Linked DNA regions of Oryzias latipes. The protein of the gene in region 1 purifies or fractionates together with the protein of each later gene. This does not show direct contact. Links are inferred from orthologs where the notes say so. Each region holds a gene or a part of one and is shown on either strand. Other genes may lie near its edges.

Evidence for each region.
Region 2: the proteins of sik2 (region 1) and serine/threonine-protein phosphatase 2A 55 kDa regulatory subunit B alpha isoform purify together in Homo sapiens (affinity purification with mass spectrometry; 3 studies listed by BioGRID and IntAct, with this or other methods). This does not show direct contact. The link is inferred for Oryzias latipes from reciprocal best matches to the Homo sapiens genes SIK2 and PPP2R2A.

Annotation. Positions count from the first base shown.
Region 1 is NC_019871.2:15,495,164-15,498,982, reverse strand, and holds part of sik2 (serine/threonine-protein kinase SIK2), read left to right. Parts: intron 1-287; coding exon 288-412; intron 413-907; coding exon 908-1,031; intron 1,032-3,819. UniProt on the Homo sapiens protein: Serine/threonine-protein kinase that plays a role in many biological processes such as fatty acid oxidation, autophagy, immune response or glucose metabolism.
Region 2 is NC_019870.2:24,073,878-24,078,185, reverse strand, and holds the start of serine/threonine-protein phosphatase 2A 55 kDa regulatory subunit B alpha isoform, read left to right. Parts: upstream 1-1,419; 5' UTR 1,420-1,724; coding exon 1,725-1,731; intron 1,732-3,916; coding exon 3,917-3,985; intron 3,986-4,308. UniProt on the Homo sapiens protein: Substrate-recognition subunit of protein phosphatase 2A (PP2A) that plays a key role in cell cycle by controlling mitosis entry and exit. Involved in chromosome clustering during late mitosis by mediating dephosphorylation of MKI67.

The DNA.
Region 1 (3,819 bases):
GCAGTTGCTTCATACTGAGGCCATTTCCTCACTGTGCAAAAATGTGTCTCTCATAGTGCATTATGTAAAAGGTGCCAGCAGATGCTCTGTCTCAATCCACTCTTGTTTCTGTGGATGTGTATAGTCAAACCCTTAAACATATTGGGTAACACGTCTTTATAGAACATATTAAAGGGCCAATGTTCTTCCCTTGCAGGCATTACTTAAAGAAACATTGTCTGCTGGGAGTTTTGTGACACCTAAAACTGTCTTCAGCCTGCTTACTGTTGGTGCGTCGTCCCTTGTAGATTTTGGATTTGGAAACTTCTTTAAACAAGGAGAGCCTTTGGCTACATGGTGTGGCAGCCCGCCATACGCTGCTCCAGAGGTCTTTGAAGGACAACAGTATGAGGGCCCACAGCTGGACATCTGGGTAAGAGAATTTCTTTTAACCAAAACGACAGCTCCTTCACATTCTTGTGCTTAAATTCCCTTCTTTTAATGGGAGTGATCTACTGTTGGATCCATTTAAAAAAGCTATGTGAAGTCAATTAATGTAATTTAACATTTTATTGGCAAGATGAAGATGGAGCATCGGTCTTATGTGTGTCTTTACTGACGTGATCCTGAAAGAAAATAAAAACCTTGATGGTTTACAGGTTTTATGTTGAAAATAAAATAAAAAATGATTACCGGGTTATAATGATTAAGAGCTAAACAACCACGTGATACAAAGGTTAAGGCCAAAGACAAAAGCATCATGGGAAAAAAATCTCAATCTTTTTTAGAAGAGGCTCAGTAACATTAATATAATTAAGAGCAACCGGTGAATCTTTCATTCAGAAGGGTGTGCGTGGATGTGTGAAAAAATAATTGTCATCTCTGATTGGTCTATTGATTGCTGCTCCCTGTATGCATCTGTTTCCAGAGTATGGGGGTGGTGCTTTATGTGCTGGTGTGCGGGGCGTTGCCCTTTGACGGGCCCAGTCTGCCTGTCCTCCGACAGAGAGTCCTAGAAGGAAGGTTCCGCATCCCATACTTCATGACTGAAGGTGAGCGGACACAAGTTTAACTCGTCCAGAACTTTATTACAATCAAGGCAAAGTTTGTCTGGGTTTAGGCATCACATGTATTACCTGGAAGCCATACTCCTCTGCCTTCTTTTGTTTAAAGTGTAGCTAATCTGAGGGGAGGATTTGTGGTGAACTATGAGGAAAGTCCTGCAGAAGGGATGATGCTAAGAAATGGGTTATTGCGGAAAAGTCCAGTAATCGTTGGTTTGAGGTGAAAGATAGAGGTCAGGTTCCATGTCATTTGAAAAACAGTCTTTGATCAAATGGCAAGCATCGCCAGAAGTGCAGGTTTTTGCCAATTGAAATGTAACTTCTCAGTTTAACTACCTGACTTTCACATCACATTTTTACACATCACATTTTTTTTCCTTCTCTGAGGTTGTGTTGCAATGTCATTTCACAAAATGGGTGTTACTTAAATTCTACTTTTCAATATAGATTGATGTTGATGCATTAAAATGTCTAGTTTAGCTTTCAATTTTGATTTACTGTAGATTGGTAAAACTGACCTTTGTATTACTCATACAAATTACCTGCTGGCGTCTTAAGCTCTTTTCTAACTAACTAGTACAGGTAAGTCCAATATCAAATATTTTGTAAAACTTCCCTAAAAGTATCAATCTTTATAGTATGGCACCCTGGATTTACAGTCACATCTGTCAGTTTTTTTCTAAAAACACTGAAAGTTTTTGTGAATCATTGAGTTTTTTCATGTTAAATTATTTAAAAAAAAAAGGGCATGAGTCATCGTACATGTTTTTGACTTTGAGTCACTGTACTGTTGAATGTTTACTGGCACCGTCTATCATGGCTAAAGTAGTGAGCAGGTCGTTTGATCACACAGAACAGTATGCTTTAGGATGGTACAGCATTGGGCACTCTGTCAAAATAGCTGCGTTTACATGGACAAAAGTAATAGGAAAAAACGCCTGATCGTAACAAAAATTCGTCATGTAAACACGCCGCTCGGAATACTCTGCCCCGATCTGACTCATTCGGATCAAAATTTCTTTGCGATCGAGATAGGTGGGTTATGCTGATTGTTGATCCGATCGTTTTGCATGTAAACGGTTCATTCTGATCGTGCGTCGCTACTGCTCTGGTTTAACATCACGCATTGAAGAAGTTTCACTCCAGAGAAGGCTTTGGAGCACAAACAGGACCAACCGGCTGCTCTGCAGACGCCTTGTGTTAAGCACTCTTCACCCCTCACGAAGTGGGGTGCCGGGGAGGAGCGCTTCGTGCCCCCTGACGTCTGGACCCTGCGCGGTCCAGGCTCGGGTGCCGGTGGACCGAGCGAACCGTGTCTCTGCAGAACAGAACAGACGGACTTATAACTTTGTGTTTGAGGGGAGGGGAGGATGCTTTGTTACGTTTGTGCTATGTGTGGGAGGCTTCGGGCTGCGATCCGTCCCGCTGCTCTAGGTGAACGAGCTGCTGGACTCAGGAGAACAGTGTCTCCCGGTAGAAATGTGTCTCTGAGCAGAGCTCGGACTTCCAGCTCACACAGCGGCTTTGGGGCAGTGAGCTTTTCAAAGCAGAAATGTCGGTCAGTCCTTAGAAACCGTTCAAACAATCACGTGGATTTGTGTTTCCAGTCATGTCCTGACTAAATAAAGGCTGATGTTATTCCCACATATTTTCGTGCAGCCTAGATGCAGATTGTGGCATTTCCCGCATGGATTTTGTGTTCATCAAAGAAGGCTAATGTTGTTAGCGTGTTAGCTTTCTCTTAACCCTTCTTCCAGCTCCGTTCCACAATAAACAAAGCACTGACCAAACCGATTCAAAATAAAAGGATGAGCGGACATGCTCTTCATAATAACTATAACAATAATAAATGCACGTTTAGAAGATCATCTTGTATATTACTGAACTGCCAGATATCTATGTTTGTGGCAGCTCAGCTTGTTTACAGCGAGACTCATTTCCTCTTCCGGCGCACGTGCAAATTATTTATTCCAGACGAAAGTGTGGCCCATGTAGACGTTTTGTTTTAATCGGAAAAAGTTTTTCTGGGCCCATTTACACGGTTGAATTATAATCCGATCTTTGATCCGATCAAGATATTTTGCACATGTAACCGCGGCTACTGACTGCTAACATTTGCAGGGGTCATGTGTTACATGCAGGAGTGAGTCAGGTCATATGACTGTCTCAAAGCAGCCCCGCTGTTAGCAATTGTGCTAGCTTGCAGGCTGGAGATTAAATCCAGAGCACGAGCTGTTTATGTAATCTGGGGGACAAGGCAGCAAAGCCCTCCTGCAGGCTCTTCCAGGAGACCCTCTGTATGTCTCGTTGACTCCCACTGTCTATGAAATGTCTTCCTGTTTGTCTATTTGCTCCTCATGATCGAAGTCTCCGTAAGGGGGAGTGCTGGAATTCATGTCATTTCTTCTTCTTTTGTTCCGAGCCTTGAAACAATTAGGAGACGGGGAATGTGAGAGTGTAATGTCAGTTCTTGGCCTAGACTGACAATCCAACCCGCCTTTCCACCCTCACTCCTGCCCCTGTTCCCCCCCCCAAATGTGAAGAACAGAGTGTTCTCATTTCTTCTACTAGAAACAGACCTCATTTCCTCCCATTGCTCTCTCTGGTCAACTCTGTGGTGCAGGGAACAGACTAGCACCTCACTCTAAACTCTCACTAGAACATTTTAGTCCAGTGAATGCTGTGGTCAGGCACTGATCAATGACCTTTTCAGTTTTTTGCATACCTTTGCATGTCTCTTCTTTATTCAAAGCTTCATAGGGACTCAGGTTGTCTA
Region 2 (4,308 bases), on another chromosome or scaffold:
ACCAATGTAATTTTTGAAAATGTACTTTTTTTCCCCCCTTGACATTCACACTTTTGTTGCATACTGTATGATGTTTATGAATAAAAAAAAAATTAAAAAGAAAAAAGGACCCACAGTAAGAAATCACGTATAAAAAAAGAAAAATACAAAGCATATTCCTATTAATTAGAAACTTAAAAACATGGGGAGGAAAAAGTAAGAGCATCAGCAGATTGTATTTTTCAAATGGGTTCCAAGTTTTTAAACCTATAAATTCCTTTTGAGTTTTTAATTGATTCATCCTACTTTGCAATTTCACAAAGAAAATGGGTAAAAAGGTTTGTGATGGGTATATTTATATTTGAAAAATAATTAATAATTGTGGGGGGTTTCTGGGGGTAACGACTTCACCTTAAAAACAAATTCGATTTTGCAGATTTTGTGAACCACCTTCACATTTTTAGTAGAACCATCTGGAGGGGCAACAAAGCCAACATTACCAACAACAAAAATCTGACTTTTGAGACCAGAAAAATGTAGCTGTGTGGTCAAGGCTAAACCTTTTTTAGGTTTTAAATTTTTCTATTATATATTTTATTTAAAGTATTTAATTTGCTCAGCTAGCATATTATATTTTATACCATCAGACCAGTTCTAATTTTTAAAAACTTACTTTTTTCTGCTAATTTATCTTAAACTTTTAAACTTAGCTGTTAAATATCTTGCAGGTTAATTAAATGCAATCAAAGACGTTTTTGCAGTAAACTTAGTTTTTCTAATGTTAAGCATGAACATGCTAAAGTATAACGGAGCAGTAAAAGTATCAAACAGGTCAGTGTGACCATTGGTTTAATCCAGATGTCTGCTGACTGAAGCTCCAAAACGAATTTGGCTCTCTGGTTACAGAAAAATAAAACGTTTTTAATTTAAATAAGTAACTGTAAAGTAAAAAGAAAAAAAGCAAACTGACTTAAATGACCTCATACACAAACAGTTGAAGAACAGTACGCATTAACAGGTTGAACGAAAACGTTATGCCAGATTTTTGTGCGCCATGTACCACAGAAAATCAACTGGAGGTCAGTGAGCAAAACCAAAATTAAGGTGCACCGGATTATGAGGCCTCAGGGTGTCTTTTATTTTGAAAGGATGTCATGTCAACCTCTGTCAAAAGTTATAAACTATTTCATATTTTGAAAAATATATATTTTCTCTGTATGTTAATCTTTTTGTATGCAAAAAAAAATTATGTTTATCATAACAATAACATAAATACATATCGGTGTCCTATTTTTTCTAAACGATGAAGTCATATTTTTTGGTTCTGTTTAAGTATTAAAGGTTGCAGAGCCCTGCTTTTAGGCCTTTCTAATCTTTGACAAAACATCCGTCATGCGCGTGCACATTATAAAGAGGGTTTGGTTCACGTGCGGAAGAGACTCGAGGGGAGTTTGAAGAATTGACTTCTGGGATGCGGAGCAGCCGGCGGCAAGAGAGCGCGAGACACCAGCACCACCGCGGGGGAGTGAATGTTTCCAGGAGCAGCAAAGAGACGAGCGGGAACTCCGAACCGCGCAGTTTGACTTAAACACACACATTGTTCTGCTTTGCTCGGTGAACAGAGGCTGAGTGGAGGAGGGGGGGGAGGGAGGAAAAAAAAGTTAAGATCCCACGAATCAGCGCGTGGGAGTGGGAAGCAGGATCGTGACCAACTGACTGAGGCAAGCTCCACTGTCTGTCTCGCCATGGCAGGTAATTCGTCTGGACTGTGTTAAACGTTCTGAAAAAAAATGTTTTTTTTCATTGTTAAAACGTCGTTTCTTGGTCGTCTCTGCGTTCCGGGAGTCAGGTTTTATTCACCCACCAGTTCATTTCTGTTTTAGCTAACGATAGCTAGTTAGCCGAACTTGGCTAGTGCTAACCTAAGCTATTCACAGAACTCGACTGTCCTCGCGCAACAACAGAAACATTTGCCGGTTAAAGCTAGCTTACCAGTTACCGTTACAGCTGTTTTGCTGTTATCTACACAAATAGGTTGCATTACTAACCTGATAATGATATGCATGGCAGTTTAGCCAAATCTGTTAATAATTTTGTGGCACCGGCATGAAATAGTGTTAAGTTTTTGTAGCTAATGGCCGAGTATTTCGCTCGTACACGGAGGTTTTCTTTTGGTATACTTCTGTGCAAACCTCTTAATGGAATAACAACACACAAGGCTGCGAGTTATTAACCCAAACGTTAGGGCAAGCTCAAAGTAGCGCCACAGTTCTCAAACATGCATCGGCTAGCTTGGCAAGCCGTCATTGCTAGCTTTAGCGCAAACTTTGACATTGCTCACATGCAGGCTAGCAGGCGGGCCCACTGAGCTCTGAGGGAAATGTTCACGCAGTTTCTGCTTCAAAGGCTACAAGAGGCGCGGGATAACGACCATTTCATCTGTAGAGAATGCTCAGACTTTCTCTGCGATGTTTTTCATTCATTTGTTAGCTTTACTTTAGTAGCGAAGTATTGTGATTCCAGTGGGTGGGGGGGCCTCACCCCCCACCCCTATAGCAGACTTTGATTTTAAATTTGGTTTTAAAGGCATAGCAGAAACGTCAATCATGGAAAGTGTGGAATGCTTGCACGTCGTCCATTTTTTGAGTGACTCACATTTTTAGACAAATGCATTGCACAAGACTCCCCAATAAAACATTTGAGATATTTTGTTCCTCCAGTGAGTGTTTTGACTCTTTCTGGTGTGTATGCACAGAAATGATTGTACCTGCTTCCTTTGGGCTTGTTTATCCTACAAAATGTACTCTGTTAAAGTATGTGCTGCTACGTCAACCTGCTTTAAGGTGACTGTTGGAAACATTCGGTTTCAGTTTTGTAAGTGGCCACAATGATTGCAGTGCCAGAATTGTTCATGTATGTTGAGTTCCTCTTAAACCAGGCCTCAGCATGACCGCTGTTAACCAGCTACAAGACCTAAGATGAAGAGAACAGTCTAGCAGTTACTGACTGCACCCACTTTTATTGTAATTAAAAGATCATGTAGTTTTATAGCTGTGAGTTGACTCACTGGAACAGAACTGGTTTTGCAGGTGTAGACTGTCTCGAGTAATAGTGGTGTATCTTAATGTTTTAAGATATAGCTTATGTTATTTGCACATATTTATGTGGGACCAAACACAAAAAACTGATGGAAATTCATGTTGGCTGCATGTTTAGCGGACAGATGCACATTCCTGCATTACCGGCACAAATTTTAAGTACGGCCAAGTCTAAATGTTGTGGTTGGTCGCGTGTATTAACCTAATCCTAACCCTTCATCCGGGTCCGTGCAACCAAAGAAAAAGTCAGCTCTGGCTGCGTGTATTTTGAAAATTCTGTGTGAATGATCACTTTCTTAAAAAAGATGCTGCACAGTTTTCTACCTAAGTGGTGGTGCATGTGTGCACGTATGATCATTAAAATATTGCGGTAATGGTCAGTGGAATCATTGTTAGACCCTGGATCTCAGACAGGTCCCAACACTGATCTTTTCTGAAGTAATTCATGAATATTATTGAGCACAAGTTCTAACTGCTGCCACCAGGGAAGAGATGCAGGTCCTTCAGAGCCAGGACCAACAGACTTGAAAAAGTTTTTACCCATGCTCCATCAGGCTCCTTAATGATACTGTCAACACCCAGTCACCCTTTATGTATGGATTTGTACTTTTTTGGTTTTTAATATGATTTTCTTGCACTTTGGCATGTTGGCCACTTTCAATTCTGTCTTGCTCCTTGGCAGATGACAACGAAGTGTGTCATTCTTAAAAAGCATTTTTCACTAGGTTTAGAGCAATATTAAGTCAATAAAATCTTCTTCAGTTAAGTCATTCTGGTGTTTGAAGCAGACGGCAAGAAGAGTCACTGAAGATAATCCACTCATTTTTCTCTTCTCACAGCACCTGGAGGTGACATGCAGTGGTGCTTCTCTCAGGTGAAAGGAGCCATCGATGATGATGTCGCTGAAGGTACGAAGAACCATTTGAAATACAGTTTTGTTTAGAAAAATTAAAAATACAGGTATAACAATTTATTTTCAACAATTATTTGATTCATATCATTTGTAGTTGCGATACGAGTCATAGTGTATATTTGTTCAATTTAAATGATCCGATTTGATCAAGAATTAATGGCAAATTCATTCACATTGTCATAAAGTTGTTTTCAACATCAAAATAATAAAAAAGGAACACGATTAGAACATTCTACCACACTGAGTGGTCACATGTCTTTGCAGAACTCTGTTTCCACACGTTGGACTAGAATGATGGACTGATCATTTTTTGCTGCA